Callithrix jacchus: one gene and its partners. The protein of the gene in region 1 purifies or fractionates together with the protein of each later gene. This does not show direct contact. Links are inferred from orthologs where the notes say so. Each region holds a gene or a part of one and is shown on either strand. Other genes may lie near its edges.

The links. The genes of interacting proteins can lie anywhere in the genome.
Region 2: the proteins of DCAF7 (region 1) and FAM53C purify together in Homo sapiens (affinity purification with mass spectrometry; 3 studies listed by BioGRID and IntAct, counting the BioPlex papers as one, with this or other methods). This does not show direct contact. The link is inferred for Callithrix jacchus from reciprocal best matches to the Homo sapiens genes DCAF7 and FAM53C.
Region 3: the proteins of DCAF7 (region 1) and ZNF503 purify together in Homo sapiens (affinity purification with mass spectrometry; 4 studies listed by BioGRID and IntAct, counting the BioPlex papers as one, with this or other methods). This does not show direct contact. The link is inferred for Callithrix jacchus from reciprocal best matches to the Homo sapiens genes DCAF7 and ZNF503.

Annotation. Positions count from the first base shown.
Region 1 is NC_133506.1:88,861,835-88,868,286, forward strand, and holds part of DCAF7 (DDB1- and CUL4-associated factor 7), read left to right. Parts: intron 1-929; coding exon 930-1,047; intron 1,048-4,668; coding exon 4,669-4,841; 3' UTR 4,842-6,452. UniProt on the Homo sapiens protein: Involved in craniofacial development. Acts upstream of the EDN1 pathway and is required for formation of the upper jaw equivalent, the palatoquadrate. The activity required for EDN1 pathway function differs between the first and second arches.
Region 2 is NC_133503.1:36,752,894-36,759,846, forward strand, and holds the start of FAM53C (protein FAM53C), read left to right. Parts: upstream 1-2,237; 5' UTR 2,238-2,363; intron 2,364-2,517; exon of another isoform or gene 2,518-2,553; intron 2,554-2,657; exon of another isoform or gene 2,658-2,723; intron 2,724-2,966; exon of another isoform or gene 2,967-3,008; intron 3,009-3,485; exon of another isoform or gene 3,486-3,612; intron 3,613-6,180; 5' UTR 6,181-6,332; coding exon 6,333-6,410; intron 6,411-6,805; coding exon 6,806-6,863; intron 6,864-6,953.
Region 3 is NC_133513.1:54,764,050-54,771,045, forward strand, and holds ZNF503 (zinc finger protein 503), read left to right. Parts: upstream 1-2,280; 5' UTR 2,281-2,628; coding exon 2,629-2,931; intron 2,932-3,652; coding exon 3,653-5,284; 3' UTR 5,285-6,019; downstream 6,020-6,996. Other genes in the region: uncharacterized protein LOC144578661, read right to left, coding at 1-254. UniProt on the Homo sapiens protein: May function as a transcriptional repressor.

The sequences.
Region 1 (6,452 bases):
TTAGTATATCTGGAAGGATGGTTCTCAACTGGAGCAGTTCGGCCCCCAGAGTATCTTTGAGAATATCTAGAGGCATTTTTTGGTGGTCACAACTCTGGAGAGGCAGGTGGTACTATAGCATCTAGTGGGTGGAGACCAGGGAGGCTGCTAAATATCCTGCAGTGCCCAGGACAGTCCCCCAGCAAAGTATATCCTACACAAAATGACAGAAATCTCGGGACTGAGAAAGCCTGATCTGGAACAAGAATTTCTTTTAAGAACTTTTAATTTTTGGCTGGTCACAGTGGCTCATGTCTATAATTCCAGCACTTTAGGAGGCCCAGGCAAGCGGATCATGAGATCAAGAGTTCGAGACCAGTGTTACCAACTTGGTGAAACCCTGTCTCTACTAAAAATACAAAAAAAAAAAAAAAAAAAAAAGCTGGGTGTGGTGGTGTGCGCCTGTAATCCAAGCTACTCAGGAGGCTGAGGCAGAATTGCTTGAACCCGGGAGGCAGAGGTTGCAGTGAGCCAGGATCACATCACTGCACTCCAGCCAGGACAACAGTGTGAGACTCCATCTCAAAAATAAATAAATAAATAAATAAATAAGAAATAAAATAAGAAGAGAGACAGGATTTCCACAGAATTAAGGGAAAAGATGACAAAGGACACAAGTTTATAGTCTCTATCTGTATTTTTAGTAGAGATGGGGTTTTACCATGTTGCTTAGGCTGGTCTCAAACTCCTGACCTTGTGATTCACCCACCTCAGCCTCCCAAAGTGCAGGGATTACTGGTGTGAGCCACTGCACCCAGACCTCTAGTGTTCTTTAAATCCACAAATAGAAGAGTTATGCCTAAAAAGATTTTTTGTGTGTGGATAGTATTTTTTGCTTCTTTCTGTGAAACTCTGATGATCCCAGGCCTTTTACTTTGTTATTTCCGCAGGTGGTGATTCTAGATGTCCGGGTTCCCTGCACACCTGTCGCCAGGTTAAACAACCATCGAGCATGTGTCAATGGCATTGCTTGGGCCCCACATTCATCCTGTCACATCTGCACTGCAGGTAATCACAGTAGGGGAGAGGAATCTGGCAGGGATGGAGGAAATCTGTCCTCTTGGCTCCTTAGAATTGTAATTGTTACTGTTTTCTAAGGACAGTCTTAAGAGGTTTATAAAAAGTGACTAGTCAGAGCCTCTCCACACTTGTGAAATTCAAGCAGTACAGATTTTTAGACGATCTTGTACCCTCATGGACATCAGAGCATCTTCCATATATGATTTACATCATGTGTCAGTTATAGGCCTGTGCCTTGTACTGTCCCCCTAAAATCTGGGTGGCACAGAGGACTCAATTCCAGGAATATGAGGAAAAGGAGGTATCCCTCGTGGATGTAACAGAATCTTTGGGACTGTGAAGATCAACATATCCATGGGACCTTTCACGTATCACTATAACAAACCCACAGTGAGCCCTGAATACATTGGAGGGCCCCACAGAACTTTCCCTGGTTGCAGTGTGTGACTTGTGGTTTTCATTTCACTATTTCCCAGACCAAAGAGAGTACCCCTTACTCACTGGGCACAGTGGCTCACACCTGTAATCCCAGCACTTTGGGAGGCTGAGGTGGGTGGGTCACCTGAAGTCAGGAGTTTGTGACCAGCCTGACAAGCATAGTGAAACCCTGTCTCTACTAAAAATACAAAAATAATTAGCTGGGCATGGCAGCACACACCTGTAGTCCAAGCTACTTGGGAAGCTGAGGCAGGAGAACTGCTTGAACCCAGGAGGTGGAGGTTGCAGTGACCTGAGATTATGCCACTGCCCTCCAGCCGGGGTGACAGAGCAAGACTCCATCTCCAAACAAATAAATAAATAAATAAAAGCAATACCTCTTAAAAATATGTTGGGCCAGGCATAGCATCTCAGGCCTGTAATTGTAGCATTTTAGGAGGCTGAGGTGGGAGGATTGCATGAGGCCAGGAGTTTGAGATCAGCCTGAGCAGTATAGTGAGACCTCTTTACAAAAAGTTAAAAAATTATCTGGGTGTGGTAGTGAATTCCTGTAGTCTCAGCTACTTAGAGGCTGAGGTGAGAGGATCCCTTGAGCCCAGGAGTTTGAGGTTATAGTGAGCTATGATTGTGCCACTGCACTCCAGCCTGGGCAACCAAGCAAGACCCTGCCTCTAACATAAATTTTTTAAAAAGAAAAGAAAAATATGCTGGTTGTCAGTGCACTTTTATTCTATAATGAATGCCAATCTGTTATTTAAAATGAAAACAGTACAGAGGCATGTTTAAGGTGAAAGTCATTGTTTCTCCTTCCTATATTATTTCTGCCTCCATCCCACTCTGCATAGATGACCTCTATCAACAGTTCATGTGTCTCCTTCCGGACCCTTTTGGTATACATTCGGGAGTGTACATCCATACCCCTAAAGACAATTCTATACATCTTCCTTTTGCACGATGGGATTCTGTCCGAGCTTTGTGGTGTTTTGCTCCTTAACTTTTTTAGTGTGCATTTTTCTTCTCCTCGCTAATCAGTATCCTTATAATGGACAAGGTTTGTTATGAAGCCCAAGAAGCAATGTACTTTGGTGTTTTTCTGCCATTTGAGCATTATTTTGAAGACATGAAGCTTCTCCTGATTTTGGCCCTGGGCTCATGCCTGTATGTCTTCTTGAAGAGCAGTTGGGGGCATGCTGCCGCCTTATATACCTCAGGTTATGGTCTGTCTTCTTCGTTATTGCCCTCTTATTTTTTTAGGGGTGTGGACAGGGAGGGATGGAAGAAACAGAAAAGGTATCATCTAACATTCATGGAAAGCAGGACTGGCCCCTTAGAAGCTGCATTTTCTGCTCCTGACTGCTGCCTTTGCCCTGCTCTCTGTCATTTAGTGTGTTGCACCTGCCTTGAGCCCCTTCAACCAAAGGAGCTGTTGTTCAAGTGTGCTCAGTTGAGCACTGAGGATAAGGAACTTAGTGCTTTAGAGGGCAATACCCTGATCTTTTGGTATACACTGTCCCTGGGAGAGGGATCTTGCACCTGGCCCAGACTATGCGGTCTCGGTAGAATACCAGTATTGCCCATAATTAGCCTGGCCTATTAAGGCTTAGTTTATTCAGATTCCCTGTGTATCTAAGACCAGCTTTCATCAGAATGCATGGCAGAGTCAGGGTAAACTGCAGCTCTGAAGACCATTGCCTTTTTTTTGCTTTTTTTAAAATTAACTTACTATTTTGATTATAAAAGTAAGCTGGGTGCGGTGACTCATGCCCGTAATCCCAGCACTTTAGAAGGCTGAGGCAGGTGGATCATCTGAGGTCACGAGTTCAGGTTCAGCCTGGTCAACATGGTAAAACCTGTCTCTACTAAAAACACAAAAATTAGCTGGTTGTGCTGGTGCGCCTGAATTCTCAGCTACTTAGGCGGCTGAGGCAGAAGACCCCAGGAGGCATTGGTTACAGTGAGCCAAGATCACACTATTGCACTCCAGCCAGGGTGACAGAACAAGACTCTATCTCAAACAAACAAACAAAAAGTAATATGAACATATTACAGAACTAGAGAAAAGTAAACATAACCTTGCCATCTTAGTATTGCCACCATTCTCATTTTGATATATTTCCTTCTAGTCATTTTTCACGTGCTTTTATATATTTAAGGTGATTGTCTTCTTTCTGGTGTTTCCCATAGATATTTTCTTGGCTTTATTTATTTATTTTATTTTATTTTTTGAGGTGGAGTCTTACTCTGTCGCACAGACTTGAGTACAATGACATGATCTTGGCTCACTGCAATCTCTGCCTCCCGTTTAAGTGATTCTCAGCCACCTGAGTAACTGGGATTACAGGTGTGCACCACCATGCCTGGTTTATTTGTATATATATATATTTTTTTTTTTTTTTGAGACAGAGTTTCACTCTTGTTACCCAGGCTGGAGTGCAATGGCGCAATCTCAGCTCACCGCAACCTCTGCATCCTGGGTTCAGGCAGTTCTCCTGCCTCAGCCTCCTGAGTAGCTGGGATTACTGGCACGCACCACCATGCCCAGCTAATTTTTTGTATTTTTTAGTAGAGACGGGGTTTCACCATGTTGGCCACTCCTGGCCCCAGGTGGTCCACCTGCCTCAGCCTCCCAAAGTCCTGGGATTACAGGTGTGAGCCACCAGGCCTAGCCAGGAAATAATTTTTTAACAGCACATATCAACACTACTTTATCAGTCTTCTTTCTCTATAATACCTCATTGAAGTATAAATGGGAAGAAACCTTCTCATTATATTGAATGATCAGAGAAGGATCTTATAACTCCAGTATTTTAAGTGGCTGCAAATGACATGTTTTGTATCCCCTGGTCCACTCCTGATACCTGACCCAGGTGAGAAGGGCTCATTAGTGCAGTGGATAGAGCCTAGGGACACCTGCAAGATGGAGTCAAGGCCTAGACTTGAGTTCTGGCTCTGCTGCTCACTGGCTGCACAGCTGTGTGATTTGGGACAAGTGCCTTAACATTTCTGAATCTTGTTTTCTTCATCGATAAAATGGGGGTTTAAAATAGAACCTCCATCACGGAGTTTTGGTGATCAACTGCTTTGTAAACTGTGACTTGCTCCTGAAATACAGGGATCATCATCCCCATTGCCTCAGTTGTGACCTTGCTTGCTGGCTTTCTTTGTCTCTAGCGGATGACCACCAGGCTCTCATCTGGGACATCCAGCAAATGCCCCGAGCAATTGAGGACCCTATCCTGGCCTACACAGCTGAAGGAGAGATCAACAATGTGCAGTGGGCATCAACTCAGCCCGACTGGATCGCCATCTGCTACAACAACTGCCTGGAGATACTCAGAGTGTAATGTTGGTGGCGCTGTGCGCACGAGGCAGGGCCTTGTGTGTTTCCTGCCTCTGCCCCACCCCAAAGTAAGAAGAAACATGTTTCCAGTGGCCAGTATGTCTTTCGTTGCTTTGCACCCACTGTTACCAGAAGCTGCTCTAGGAGTTCCTGGCCAGTCACCCCATCGCCCTCTGTGGCAGACTCAGTGCTGTGTGGCACCTCCTCAGCCCAGGGCTGAATTTTAAAATTTTCTCTTCTTTCCTCTTCTTGTTTTGTTCCTCAATTAAAAATGTGTGTATATTTGTTTGTCAGGCGTTGCGTTGAGGAGCAGTTCATGTACTGGCTGTGTCTATTCCTCTGCCCAGGTGTCTCTGTCTGTTTGCTGCCCAAGGCAGCAACGCATGTTTCCATGTCCATGTTCCTGTTAGCACTTACGTGGGAACAAATAACAGTTTGTCCTTTCTCCTAGTATCAGTGTGTTTAACAAATTTCAACTTTGTATATTTATCAGGCTAATTTTTTTATGAAAAGAATTTTACTCTTCCTGGTTCATTTATTTGTCTTATAGTCCTTCCTATGTGCCCCTTCTTCTCTTCCCTCAGTGCCTGGAGCTGGTACTGGGCCCCTGGCCCCATGAGCAGTTTGCCTTCTTGAGTCACTGCCTGAGTAGTACATACCTGACCGGGAGGCCAAACCACCTTGGTGCTCTGAAGTCAACTGACTCCTCAACATCTTTCTTAGCCTGGCTCTTCTTAAGGGCATTCTGGGCTTCTAAACAGACGTAGGAAACCTCTGTTTACCCTAAAGCACCACTGTCCAGCCCCATTGGTTCCCACTGGGAGCATGGTAGAGGTGAGAGAGACAGGCTCTCAGGGTACCTGACTTGAGGGGAATCCTTTCAGGAAGCTGAAAAAGTCAAGCATATTTCCATACCTACTTTCAGAGTCTGTTTTTTACTTCAAATATAAGCCCCAGGCCATTCCACTTAGTGTCTTTTTAATGATCGACAAGAATGAGTTGAAATTCTCTGAGTTGAACTTCGGTGTTTCTGTTGGTTGAGTGTACTGTGCCTGGCCATATATTATATAGGGTGCTCTTTGGATTGAGTGCTCTGAGGTGAGAGTTTCCCGAGAGGCATCCAGTCTGTACTTCCAACCCTGAACAAGACCTCACATGAGAGATGGACTGATTGGCTGTGGCAATCCCAGGCTGTCAAGTGGATAGATAGCAAAAAAGAGTTATACTGTGGTGAGTAATGCTAAGGAGCAAAAAAGAAAGAAAAGGAATTATTGCCCCCAGGGTCAGCCAGTTAAGAGCTCTACCCACACCTGTCAACCCTTCTCTCCGCCAGTTTAGGTTCTGAGCAGTATTGGACTTGTAACCTGTGGTTGTCTGTTGACTTGCAGGCCGCAGGCGTCTTTTCGTTACATGAATGAGTTCCATGGAGGGGGCCTGTGTGTGATTCCATTGTTGGAAGAGTCCTTGGAGCAGGCAGAGTTTGAGGCATGCTCTGGGGGGAAAGTTGCCTGGCTCCTTGGGCTGTACTCAGTAACTGAAGGTTTTTAAGTCCCTCTGAATTGCTCATCTGAGATTAGCAGAGTAGCAGGCCTAAAGGACGATGGTTTTGTTCTCT
Region 2 (6,953 bases), on another chromosome or scaffold:
TTTCTATTCCTTTTTCTTTTCATGACTGGTAGGCTTAGCCCTACTTCTCCCCACTTTGCAGAGATTTAGCTTTCACTGGATGAAAAGGGAGGGTCTGAATTGAATGCATGTTCCTCTGACTCAGCTGTTCCTTCCTAGGCAGGGAATGGAGAGTCTCTTAGAGCCAATGGTTTCCACTCCTTTGGATGACCTCCTGGATGACCGGCTCCAGGCCCTGGAATCCTCAGAATATGGATGGAAAGTATCCTCTGCTGAAACCCATTGGGGCAGGGTCAGAGATGGGGTTTGGCCCATGAGGGCACAATTAAGATGCTGTTCAAAACAGTGGCTCAAGAACAAAATAATACACAGGGGGCAGCAGGGAAGAAGAGCAGGACATGAGTAAAAAAATCGTTGGGAATTAAAAGTGGAATAAGGAGATTTCATTATGGGTAGGAGTGTTAGGCTGCACTGGGAGGCTATTTAATAGATGATGAAAGGGGATGTAACCTTCCTTTGAAATGAGGCTTGAAACTTGCAGGGTTTTTTGTTTTTTTTTTTTGTCTCAGTTTCTTTCAATGTTTTGCAAATGAGCCAATGCCTACTTTCAACTCAATCATGTAATTAGTAAGCTTGGTTAATAATAAAAAGGGGAAGAGCTTAGCAGTGAAAAGCAAGGGCTTTTTGAATCTCTTTTAGACTGCTTTTTGATACTACCTCTACCTACCACGTGGGCAGTCACTTAATCTCCTGGGCTGTTTCCTTTGTCAAAGAGAAAGTTTTGTTTCATTGGATGACTGTAAAAAAAAATGAGAATATACATCAAAGTATGTAGGCCAGGTATGGTGGTTCACACCTGGAATCCCAGCACTTTTTTTTTTTTTTGTTCTTTTGTTTTGTTTGTGGCCCAGGCTGAAGTACAGTGGCATGATCTCAGCTCACTGCAACCTCTGCCTCCTGGGTTCAAGCGATTCTCCTGCCTCAGCCTCCGGAGTAGCTGGGATTACATGTGGGCACCACCACGCCCAGCTAATTTTTGTATTTTTTAGTAGAGATGGGGTTTCACCATGTTGGCCAGGCTGATCTGGAACACCTGACCTCAAATGATCTGTCTGCCTTGCTTCCCAAAGTGCTGGGATTACAGGTGTGAGTCATCATGCCTGGCCATTTGAGCACTTTGTGAGGCCAAGCTGGGAAGATCATTTGAGGCCAGAAGTTTCAGACTACCCTGGGCAACATAGCAAGGACCCTCTCTCTACAAAAATAGAAATAAATATGCTGGGCATGGTGGCACACCCCTGTAGTTCTAACTACTCAGGAGGCTGAGATGGGAAGGACTGCTTGAGCCCAGAAGTTCAAGCTGCAGTTAGCTATGATGGTCTCACTGCATTCCAGCCTGAGCAACAGAGCAAAACCCTGTTTCTGCAAAAAAAAAAAAAGCATGGTGTCTGGCACATAAGTGCAATTATTAGAAACTATGTGTCCCACACTTCATGGTGCCTGCCTCTGCTCCTTTTGCCAAGGGGAAATAGGCAGTGCAAGGTAAATCTCTCTACCCCTATTTTCTCAGTTATTATTGTACCTCACTTTTCCTCTACTCTTTTTCAGTTTGCAGACTTTGTGGCTCCTGCTTCCTCATCTACCTGGCTCTGTGAGGAAGATCCCCACCATTGGCTCTACTTTCCAGCTGATCACAGCTATTTACCTGTCCCAGTCATGAGTAAGGCACAAAATATTTACAGAGAACAGATGTCTTTCAGAGGACTTTCTGCTAAGTGTAATAGTGAAGATTACTTGCATTACTGCTACTTTCCAATCAATTGAAAAAAAATCGAAAACTTTGCATTACAAAGAGATCACAACACGAAGGCATTGTTTAAAGCCTCTTCTTCATCCACTTTTTTGCTTGTCTCCCTGAACCATCTGTGAGGCTGAGACTCAAATTTACATAAGAGCCAGAAACCATCAACCCAACCTCTTCACACACTAACGTCTACATTCAGTCTCTAAAAAAGACTTAAACTTTGGCTCATGTGGGAAGTGGTGGTAGTGGTGGAGACTTAATAAAAGGTGGTTTTGTCTTCCTGAAGTGGAAATGTAGGGCCGTCACATCTTTTCACCATCTGCCTGTTTCCTCCCTCCCTTTCTGTTTAACGAAAGTGTAACCACCGTACTTCTCCCCACCTCCCCGCACCTCCCCCCACCCAACGCAAGCAACTGAACCGCCTATGATGTCATAATCACAATCCCATTACCTCATCCTGCTGGGGGGGGGGCGGAGAGGGAGGATAGGGAGTGAACAGCCTTGGGCTATCCTGAGCTTTACAAAGTGTTCTGGGTGAGGGCAAATTACAAAACCGAGTGGAAACGGCCCCGCAACCATTGTAAGTCCTGGGTTTTTAAGATTCATGCCGATCCGGCAGCTGCAAGAGGGGCTCCTGGGACTCAGAGCAGGCCCTGATCGGCGCTTGGACCACACTTCCCAGCAGCCTTCACGCGGCGGACAGGTCCTTTGCAGGGGGAAGGGGGAATTCCTTCGAAGAGGTGGCCGTGGAGGGCGGAGCAGCAGAGCAGGTGATGGGGCACTGTGGCTAATTGCGTGACGCGGCCAGAACCGCGTGGGAGGCTGTAGTTGGGCCGACGGAGGGAGGGAGGCCAGGGGCGATGCCTTTGTTTACCTTCTTCCGACGGGGCCTCCCCCGCGGGTTTCAAGATGTGCCTCCGACTGGGACCGTCCACTTTCTGAGAGATTTTGAAGGGGTGACTCGTTAGTGAGGAAACCACCCCCATCCCTAAATCAAAGCGTCAGGCTACTTCCCGACAGCGCTATCTGAGAAAGACGTTGACAGAGACACCACACGGGGCTGCGGCCTCCGCGGGTGGCTCGAGGGGATTCTGCTAGCCGGAGCTGTCCCCCTACTCTCCTCAGGGACTCGTTGGTTCGCGCCAGCGCCTTTTAAGGGCACCGTGGGGCGAACGGAGCGCTCAGAGCTGCTCCGGCCGTGGCCCTGGGAGCTGGAGGAGCTGCGGTAGGTGGCAGAGGGCAGGTGGCGCTGGGGCCTCGGGGCGGGCACCTCAACTGTCCCTCCCTCCTTCCCTCTTTCCCCTCCCCCAGTCCTGCCGCCTGTGCGGCCGGGCCTCGCAGGCCGCCTCCGCGGGGAGAGCACGGGACCCGGTGGGGGAGGGGGTGGCGGAGTGCTAAGTCCCAGACCCTCCCCATCCCTTGCGTCGGGAGTTCGCTTCCCGCGGCCAGATGATGGAACCTAGTGGGAAGAGGCAAACGCCAGCCCCCCTGAGCAAGCCCTGGCGACCCCCCCCCGCCGCGGACCAGCGGACGCCCCATGCCCCACCCCGCGGGGACAGGCAGGGCAACAGAGGGATAGCTTGAAGATTGAAGGGGCCTAGCCTTTTGCTTCTTCATGGGGGTGGGGGAGGGGTGTTTCCCACTTGTCACCACTATTCCCACCAGAACCATATGGAAGAAGAGGCGGAAGGTCTCCACTTACCTGTTCGTGCACCTCCCTGCCTTCCTCATGTTTTCCTTCAGTCTCCCCAAGAGGTGTAGGGCTGGGACCTGGGGGAAGGTCCCCAAGGGATTTGTGACTCTCCTCCCTCTTGGCCTGACTTGATTCTACCTTGTCTAGGTTCAGCACAACCTCCGCATCCCTGAAACAGGAGTGTCAGGGGTTACTGCCATCCAGTAGCAGATGGGGTGGGGGTCCGATCTTTATTTTAGGGGGCTGATGGTGGAGGAAAAGCCTGGACTGAGGGTTAGGCCTGGTGGGGTTGCTGAGAGGGCCTAGCGGCCTGCTGCTCTGTGAAGGGCTAAGCCCTTGTGCCAGTTGTTAAACTGAGAAGTTTTAACTTGTTTAGTGAACGTTCAGGGCTGTCTCTACCCTTCAGATACACAAAATGGAAGGGGAAGGAAGGCAGCAAGATCGGGCTTCTTACACTTTTTTCAATGCCTGCTTGAGAAAGAGGAGGCCCCTCGCGGAGCTGGTTTGCCTTCTTTTGTGTCCTGGTTTGATTCCTTATGGCTTCCGTTCTGTTCCCCCTCTCAGCCTGGCCTGTTTTAGGAAACTCAGGCTGAGAGTATCAGTTGCGTGGTGGTAGTTGCATTGTTCCAATTACCGCTGTGTGTGGCCACATCCCAACAATTAAAATGCAGAAAAACACAAATTCACTCTATTCACCTATCCTAGAGATGATTGGGAGTTTGCTGTTGTCCAAATATCTTTCGAAAAGCTAGAGAGTTTGTTTCACTACCCTGTTCCTCCTAGCTGGTGAGCCTGAGGCCTGGGGTCTCTAGGGTAAAATCCTGCACTTAGGTTTCCTCTCTGGTTGATCTTTGAAGGCAGAGTTAAGAAACCAAGAGCAAAAGTGATATAAGCTTTAGCTTCTCCCATGAGAACATAGGGGAAGCAGCTGAAGGGAGCTCCCCGGAAGCTAGAATTTTGTTCAGGGTGGTAATAATTATGCATGAAAATGGTAGTTAACTCTAATGATGATTGACTTCTCTTGCACCTTTCTTCCAAAGAACTCCAAGTACATCCAGATTCATTTCTTTGCTCTTCCTTGTGGCCTCCTTCTGAGGTGTGAATGGGTTAGAGATGATTTCCTCTTTATTGTACAGTGGTCTGCCCCCAAGGTCACAGAAGGAAGAGCCTTCTTGGGCTTTTTTTTAGTGTGCAGGTGAGGGAGGATGGTATTCAGCCAGAGATAGACCCTGTTGCCTTCTTCATCTTACTGATATCATTACTTCTGACATTCTGAGGTCTTGAAGATTCACAAACAGAAATGAGAAATGGTAGTCTATGTGGACTCCTGATTTTTACAGGCCAGGTGGTACCTTTTGTACATTTTAGTATGTTATGTTGTTCCTGTGACAGGTTTAGATTATTCTACCTACTTTACATATGGGTAAACTGAGGCCAAGGAGTATTAAATGATTTGCCAAAACTCTCAGAAAATTAGATTTAATAATTAGATTTCTTGATCATTTGTTCTTTTGACTAGCTAATGCTGCATACAGTCTCTGGTAATCTGTCAGCCTGCTGGTCATTTCTGGGAATAGACAGAACAAAATCAAGACTGGCTTAACCTCCCCTTTTCCCTTGAGCAAGGCGCCTTGGGTAATTATGTGGGCTTGAAGCCTGTTCTCTGATGGAGTTAGTTTGCTTCTGTCAGAAATTGACCATGAGAAAGAATCTTGCTTAACTGTATCCATGGTCTTTGCATCAGATCAGGCAAAAAACTTAGTCGAATAAAGTCATGTAGTTGTTTGTAATGTCTGTGGAATTGAAATGTATTGGAATTACCCTGATCATTTCCTTATCCTCTTCCTATTTGATAAGAAAACATACACAGTGGGCCAGGGCGGTGGCTCACACCTATAATCCCAGCACTTTGGGAGGCTGAGGTGGGTGGATCACGAGGTCAAGAGATCGAGACCATCCTGGTCAACAAGGTGAAACCCCATCTCTACTAAAAATACAAAAATTAGCTGGGCATGGTGGCACGCGCCAGTAGTCCCAGCTACTTGGGAGGCTGAGGTGGGAGAATTACTTGAACCCAGGAGGCGGAGGTTACGGTGAGCCAAGATTGTGCCATTGCACTCCAGCCTGGGTAGCAACAGCTAAACTCCGTCTCAAAAAAAAAAAAAAAGAAAACATACACAGTATCTATGGGAAAACAATACTATATCAGATATTTAGGCTGTGGGAGGACATAAAATCCTATGTACTCTGGTCCAAAGCAGAAAGTCATGCCTACAACCACTGTTCCTCCTTGTTCTCTTATTACTATTTCTGTAGTTTAGGAGAAGGGTATCTCTTTTCACTTCTGACTGGAAGATAAAATACTGGGCTAATCTTGATGGAAATAATCATTTGGGCATCCCTCTCTCTCACTTGAGCAGCTGTTTTCTAAGTGGTGCTGGTATTCCAGTTAGAAACAACAGAGCCAGGTTAAGAGTGGCAAATAAGTTTCAACTTGATTGCCAACTCTATTTTATTTCATATCTAGACTGCCAAGTTCATAGTTTCTGAAGCTATGTTTAGGCTTAGCAGGAAAGAGCTGTGGGCAATTGATGTCTGCCAGAGGCCTGGCTTAGGGGTGCTGTGGTATGTGTGCCATGCATTTTCCATCTCTGGACCAGGTGCATCTCTAATATCACTTGGGGCTGGTCCCTCTAATTGGCAGACTCAGCAGGCATGACTGGAGAGGGAAGTCCCAATGGTGCTAGAATGGTGCTGCAGTGGCAGAAGACGGCTCACGAGTGAGGTCTGGAAGAACAACAGGGAAGACATCCATCATTTGCTCCAAAGTGTGCAAGTCAAATCCTGGGGAGAATCATGATAACCCTGATCACTGAGCAGCTACAGAAGCAGACTCTGGATGAGCTGAAATGCACACGCTTCAGCATCAGTCTGGTAAAAGACCAGTCTTCCTGCTTCTTCACGACCCCCTCCCCCTTTTTTCTGAGGCTGATTGTTGCTACTACTTTACTCTTGTCCTGTGCTGTATGAATCATGATACTTAACCTGGAAGAGCCCACTAACGGCTCAAAACCCAGCCCAAAAGGAAGGGGGCAGGGATTTTTCCACCTTTAGAGAAGGGACAGCAAAACCTGGGTGGAGAAGGGTTTGAGATGTTGGAGGATGTGGACTGTTTGACTTACTAACTTTGGGAAGACAAAAGGAAGAACGCTTAATGTCCCTAACATCCCTATAGCTCATGAATTGCAGAGGAGAACTGAAGAGGGCTTCCTAGAAATCTGTCGGTGTGTCCTGAATCCAAATCATGATGGATATTCTCTCTTTCTTAGCCTTTGCCTGATCATGCAGACATCTCCAACTGTGGGAACCCTTTCCAGCTTGTGTCTGGTAAGGCATCGTGTGTGTTTGTGTATACCCATGCCCGTCTCCACACATTTCTATCATTGGTTTCCAGTGACCAGGGTTGGCAAGCCTAGC
Region 3 (6,996 bases), on another chromosome or scaffold:
GTTCTTGGTACCCGTGCGGAATGAGACTGAGAAAGAAACGGGGTGGAGGAGTGAGGTGGGGGAGGGGAGTGAGATGGGCCGAGGGGAGAGAGTGAGCACGCCGAGGGCAGGTTCCAGACCTGACCCCCGCGAGTACCCGGCTCAGCCCCGGCTGCGCGCCGGTTGTAACCAGGTTTCCAGGCTCGGCCCCCACCCACCTCGCGGGCACAGACTGGCTCCCGGCTCCCGGCTCCCAGAGCTCCCAGCCCCACCATTTATCAAAAGGACTTGACAACAAAGGAAGAGCCGAGGCGGAAAAGCGGAGGAGGGAGATTCAAAGTCTTCCTAGTGGTTCCGAGGAAGGGGGTGTGTCCTCCTCACCCAACCACCCGCTCTAATTTCTGCGAGTTTCTGGAGGGGACTCTCGAACCCGCTCTGGACACTGTCAAAGCCCCGAGAACTTACGCAGCGCCACAGGCATGCATACACACTGGGCACCCAGGTCCAGGTACGCGGTGGCACGCGCAAGCGCCTCCCCTCTTCTTTCCAAACCCGAGTGACGGTGCAAATCGAGGGGAACGCGGCAGTCCCTCTCTGCTTCCTTGGAAGAACCCGCGTTTCCACAGGCAGCCGCCCCCTCCTTTTTTTGCTCCTTCCCCCGGCTCTCCCCGCGCAGGTCGTTCCGACGCGGCGTTCCGAATAAATTCGAGAGAGCAGCCCCGAGTGACCCTGGCTCCCCAGCCTGCGGGGATAGCGCGGGGCGGGAGGTGAGGGAAGGTCGGAAGGGGGAAAGAGTGAGCCTGAGACGTTTCTCCCCCACACACACCGCCCGGCCTCTTCTCCGCAGCCTCTCAGCCCTGGTTACGACTGAGGATGTCAAAGAATTGAGGCGAGGTTTACCCCACCATTGACCTCCAGGACTCGAGGTTCATTGCTGGTGTGGCTCTTAGAAGTCTCCGAGTTTGGGGTTAGAGAACTACCGAGGGTGGCAGCCTGACCTCCGCACGCTACACGCCCCCCGGGGACTAGTGGCGGCGGGGTGGGGTGGCGGGAAATCTCCCGTGTTAGAGGTTGCAGCCGCTGGTCTCGGGTACCTGGAGCCGCGCCCGAACTCCGCGACCCCAAGAGACCGAAGCCCCCAGAGGTGGGTGTCTCTCCGACACCGAGAAGGCAGGCGCTCAATCCAGGCCTGCGTGCGCCCTGGGCGCACCTGCGCACTTTACTCTCACTATTCATTTTCCTGACACAGACCGCCTCTTTCCCCTCTTTCATTCTTTTTCTTAGAGCCCCCACCCCACTCCTCATCCCAGGAGGCCGCTCCTCTTTTCCCATCCTCCAGTTCCCTCTCGGTCTCTTCCTTCCTCTTCATCTCTCTCTCCCTCTTCTTTTTCCCTTCAAGTCGCACCAGCCTTGTAATCAGCAACAAAAGCTGACATAAATCACGGGCGGATTGACAAGAGCTGACAAATAACTGATTGATTGCGGTCGAGGAACATTGACAATTGATGGAGGGGTGGAGATGCCCAAAGAACGGGGGGAGGGAGGAAAAGAGTATGGAAGGGGAGAGTAAGAATGGGGGGTTGGGGGGGGGAGACTGAGTGTGAAACAGAGGAAACATGTGACCCCCGCTGCTGCCCCAATCTACGCGTCCCCGGGCGTCACGTGGCCGGGAAGGGCGGAGAGCCCGGCGCGCCTCGCGCTGTGGAGCCGCCGCCGCTGCGACTGCCCATCTAGTTTCTGGTTTCTCTGCCGCAGAATCTGAGGAAACAGAGCGGGCGGGCAGGCTTCCTCCAGCTCCGGTTCCCCACCTTGCCTTACCCTGGTGGCCGCGCTGCGCTGCGTCGGGCGGGATCTCGATTACTGCGGAAGAAAAAACACTGGGTGTGTGGATTCCCTGCGTCCCTCGAGTTGACAGTCCGGCTGGTGTCCACACTCTCACCGGTGCTCCTTCTGGACACCCCCGCAGTCTGTTCCTCACGCTCACCCCCCTCCAAAAGAAGGTTTCAGTTTATTTTAGAGGTGGGGAAAGGAAGAACGACGAGGAGAAAAAAAGAGGGAGGCGGCGGATGGCAAACGTAGAATAGATGTCCATCTCGTCCTCGGAGCGAAATCGAGGGAGGGGACACACAGGGGGGCGGCGAGGAGGGAGCTGCCCATTAAAACCAGCTCTGAGAGTCCTGGCGGCGGCGGCAGAGGCAGCGCGGGACGCGTCACATCCCCTTGACCCTCCAATCACCTCGGGCTCCCATTTGATTGGAAGGCGGCAAAGGCTTTAATCTCCCCCTCGGTGCAGCTGCTTTTGAAGTGAGTTTCCTCGCCAGAGCCCCGGCTGGACACGCAGCAGCTCACATCGCAGAGCGCAGCGCCGGCGCGGGGCCGCGGGAGCGCAGCGCAGGGGAGCAGCCCGGCACTCCGGCACTCCGGCACTCCAGCCGGCTCCCCCAGCCCGGCCACGGCTCCGTTGCGGGCCACCCAGGATTACTCGCGTCTGGCTCCAGGCGCCGAGAAGGCGCGCTGGGCGCCCGCGGCCGCCGAGCCAGCTCCTCCTCCTCCTGCTGCTCCTGCTCCCCGGGCGAGCGCGCAGCCCCGAGCCCGCCCCGCGCCTCCAGGAGCCCTCCCCCCCGCTGCTCCCATGCGCGCGGGTGGGTCATGAGCACAGCGCCCTCGCTTTCTGCCCTAAGAAGCAGTAAGCACAGCGGCGGCGGCGGCGGCAGCGGTGCAGACCCTGCCTGGACTAGCGCGCTCTCTGGAAATAGCTCCGGCCCCGGTCCAGGCTCGTCCCCGGCCGGCAGCACCAAGCCTTTTGTGCACGCCGTGCCCCCCTCTGACCCCCTGCGCCAGGCCAGCCGCCTGCCAATCAAGGTGCTGAAGATGCTGACGGCACGGACTGGCCACATTTTGCACCCCGAGTACCTGCAGCCCCTGCCTTCCACGCCCGTCAGCCCTATCGAGGTAAGGACCCTCTCTCTGGATCGCGCTGGGACCACTACCCTGGCAGCCACCCTAAAGCTTTCTTTTTCTCTGGATCTGGGCGGGGGTGGGGGGGTCGGAGTGATTCAGCTCCTGGATGGGGGACAAGGCTACTGCTTCCGTACCTCAAAACTAGGGCGGAAAAGAGGGAGGTGGTGGAATGGGGTGTGAATGCTAGGGAGCAAGGCTGCCAATACTTGTTTCTCCTTTTGATATGAAAGCCCTAACCCGACCCAGGCCCCCTCACTCGGCACTGAAGGCAGGCAGAGGTCTGAAATACGATTCCAAAGTCGCCGTCCTCCGGCTCGCCGGGAGCCAGTGTGTGCACACAGCCTCGGAGGCACCAGCCGTCCAAGCCCTTACTCTGAAAAATTAGGGATTGTTTGTGGAGAGGGGGTACAGTTGTGGGTCTAGGAACCAAAAACCAAAAACATTTTGCTTTTTAAAAATCCAGTTAGCGTTCAGAGAGGGCAGGAAAGATGCTGCTGGGAGGGGTGGGGGGAGGGGGGAATCTGCTGCCTTTCCCAAGGGCGAGAATGTTTGCGACTGGGTGTTGAAGAGGGGGTGCCGCCTAGAATTGCGCCTCGGGGCTGGGAAGATCTTCGTGGGCTGTTGCAGAGAGGCATTTGAACCCCAGAAGCCAGATTCTAAAGGGTTTCCACTTCTTTCTCTGTGTGACCCCCCCCATCATCTGACCCCGCAGCTCGATGCCAAGAAGAGCCCTCTGGCGCTGTTGGCCCAAACATGTTCGCAGATTGGGAAGCCCGACCCCTCGCCCTCCTCCAAACTGTCCTCGGTCGCCTCCAACGGGGGCGGCGCGGGCGGTGCCGGCGGCAGCGCCGCGGGCGACAAGGACGCCAAATCGGGCCCCCTCAAGCTGAGCGACATCGGCGTGGAGGACAAGTCGAGTTTCAAGCCGTACTCCAAACCTGGCTCGGATAAGAAGGAGCCGGGAGGCGGCGGTGGAGGCGGCGGGGGCGGCGGCGGGGGCGGCGGCGGCGGGGGCGTTTCGGCGGAGAAGTCGGGATTCCGGGTACCGAGCGCCACCTGCCAGCCATTCACGCCCAGGACAGGCAGCCCGAGCTCCAGCGCCTCGGCCTGCTCCCCAGGAGGTATGCTGCCCTCGGCCGGGGGTGCCCCGGAGGGCAAGGACGACAAGAAAGACACCGACGTGGGCGGCGGCGGCAAGGGCGCCGGGGGCACCTCGGCCGAAGGGGGACCCACAGGGCTGGCGCACGGCCGGATTAGCTGCGGCGGCGGGATTAATGTGGACGTGAACCAGCACCCTGATGGGGGCCCAGGGGGCAAGGCTCTGGGCTCGGACTGCGGCGGTTCATCTGGCTCGAGCTCTGGCTCCGGCCCCAGCGCGCCCACCTCCTCCTCGGTGCTGGGCTCTGGGCTGGTGGCGCCCGTCTCACCCTACAAGCCAGGCCAGACAGTGTTTCCTTTGCCTCCCGCGGGCATGACCTACCCAGGCAGCCTGGCCGGGGCCTACGCCGGCTACCCGCCCCAGTTCCTGCCACATGGCGTGGCACTCGACCCCACCAAGCCGGGCAGCCTGGTGGGGGCACAGCTGGCGGCGGCCGCGGCTGGGTCTCTGGGCTGCAGTAAGCCGGCCGGCTCCAGCCCCTTGGCTGGGGCGTCTCCGCCGTCGGTGATGACAGCCAGTTTGTGCCGGGACCCGTACTGCCTCAGCTACCACTGCGCCAGCCACCTGGCAGGGGCGGCGGCAGCCAGCGCTTCGTGCGCACATGATCCGGCCGCTGCGGCCGCTGCGCTGAAGTCTGGATACCCGCTGGTGTACCCCACTCACCCGCTGCACGGTGTGCACTCCTCGCTAACGGCCGCCGCGGCTGCTGGCGCCACACCACCCTCCCTGGCCGGCCACCCCCTCTACCCCTACGGCTTTATGCTCCCTAACGACCCGCTCCCCCACATCTGCAACTGGGTGTCGGCCAACGGGCCATGCGACAAGCGCTTCGCCACGTCCGAAGAGCTGCTGAGCCACTTGCGGACCCATACGGCCTTCCCTGGGACAGACAAACTGCTGTCGGGCTACCCCAGCTCGTCGTCTCTGGCCAGCGCCGCCGCGGCCGCCATGGCTTGCCACATGCACATCCCCACCTCCGGCGCGCCGGGCAGTCCTGGGACGCTGGCGCTGCGCAGCCCCCACCACGCGCTGGGACTCAGTAGCCGCTACCACCCCTACTCCAAGAGCCCGCTCCCCACGCCCGGTGCCCCTGTGCCGGTGCCCGCCGCCACCGGACCCTACTACTCCCCCTACGCCCTCTACGGACAGAGACTGACCACCGCCTCGGCACTGGGGTATCAGTGAAGGGGCCGGGAGGGCTAGCGAGGGAGAGGAAGGAGTTGGAGGAGGGGAGGAGCCCAGGGAGGGGCGGGATCATGGCCCAGGCTGCTGACACCCGCGCGTGGGGAGGACTCAAGCCACGAAAGGAAAGAAATATATACCATATCTATCTACCCCACAGCAGCAACCGAAACCCGGTGGGACTCCCTTTCTCCCCTCCTCTCACTTCCCCACCCAAACTTTATAAAAGTTGAAAAAATATCATTTGACTTTTTATAGAAAAAGAAGGAAAAAATAATTGAGAAAGTGTTCATCTGAGGACTGCATCGGTGGACACTGGTATTTATTTATGTTAGCTCCAAGCGGACCCGTGGTTCAAAAGTGCATTATTTAGTTTGAGCTCTGTAGGTAAAAAGGAGGAGGGAAACAATTTAAAACGTGAGGGTAAAAATGTGGAAAACAAACCCTCCCATCCCTTGTAGATTATAAATAAAAGCAAAACCGCCACAGAACTAGAGGTCTTCTCTTTAATGTTACTTTAAAATTGCTATGATTGTATTGTACGTTATTTAATGTCTGATTGAAACACAAATTTACATGCATGTTTGTTACAAAAAATGAAAAAAAAAGTCACAATTTGTCAGCTCTGATTTCAAATTGCAATTATTTTTAAGGTGTATACCATCGAAGAGAATGGGTATTTTTTTGTATGTATTCTGGAAGAAAACAAAAAAAAAAGGAAAAAATTCTATTCCAAAACCTCATTTGCCTTATTTTGTTCTTTAAAAGGAACACTTAACTATTTTTAATTTTTAAGTCCACCCGTTGAGAAGGGGACAAGGTTTACGTCATGTACTAAAATAATAGACAATGTATCGCTTTAAAGATTAAAATTCCGTATATTTGATGTATTAAAAGGTTTTACTTCTTCTTCTTATCTTTTTTATTTTTTGGTTAAAGAGAGCATGGCAGTTTCGGCCGCAGTGGGTTCCGGGGCCTCACTGCTGCTCCTTCCCGGGACCGTGGCAGAATTTCCGATCGCTTTGTTGTGATTTTCTGGGAGGCAAAGGCGTCGGAAGGGGCGGCCAGCCGCGAAGTTGGCCTTAGGGAACATATTTTTAAAGGAAATTTCACCATTTGGAAAGATAGCGTCCTCTGCTATCATTTCGTTTTTGTTTCAATTTTCTCTTGGCAGCCGGCTTCTTAAAAGTGAAAGGGGGCTGGGGGGTAAAAGAGTTTCTGTTAAATTTCCTCCTAAGCTTTTTGGGCGTTTGGGTTTCGTTTTATGCAGAGAGCGGAGCAGGCTGGGACTCGCCTGCCGGGCCAGGGCCGGGGCCTTGGGGACGTGCGGCAGCGTGCTGCCCTGTGTTGGCTTCCAAGCCTCTCTGGCCCGCGGCGGGCGAGCCGACTAGACTGGGAGGCGGGGGGACGCTGGGGGAACCTGTGTCCCGGGTCTGGGTAGAGTGCACCGGAACCCTCTGGTTCCTCGGGGAGAGTCAGTCCTGTTTTCTTCCTCTGGCTCCCCAGGGTCTTCAGAACGCCACCCCTACCCTCGCCCCCACCCCCGCCCCCACCCGCCAGCTCCTTCCTCCCTCCGGAGTCCGGACCCGGGGCAGGCTGGCGCCGCTGCTGCTTTTCCCGGTCCGGGTGGCTCCGCTGCTGGCGCTCTATTCCAGTCCGCGCCGCAGGAGAGCGCGCCCGGCCAGGGACCTGGAAAGCCCCGCCAAGTGCAGCCC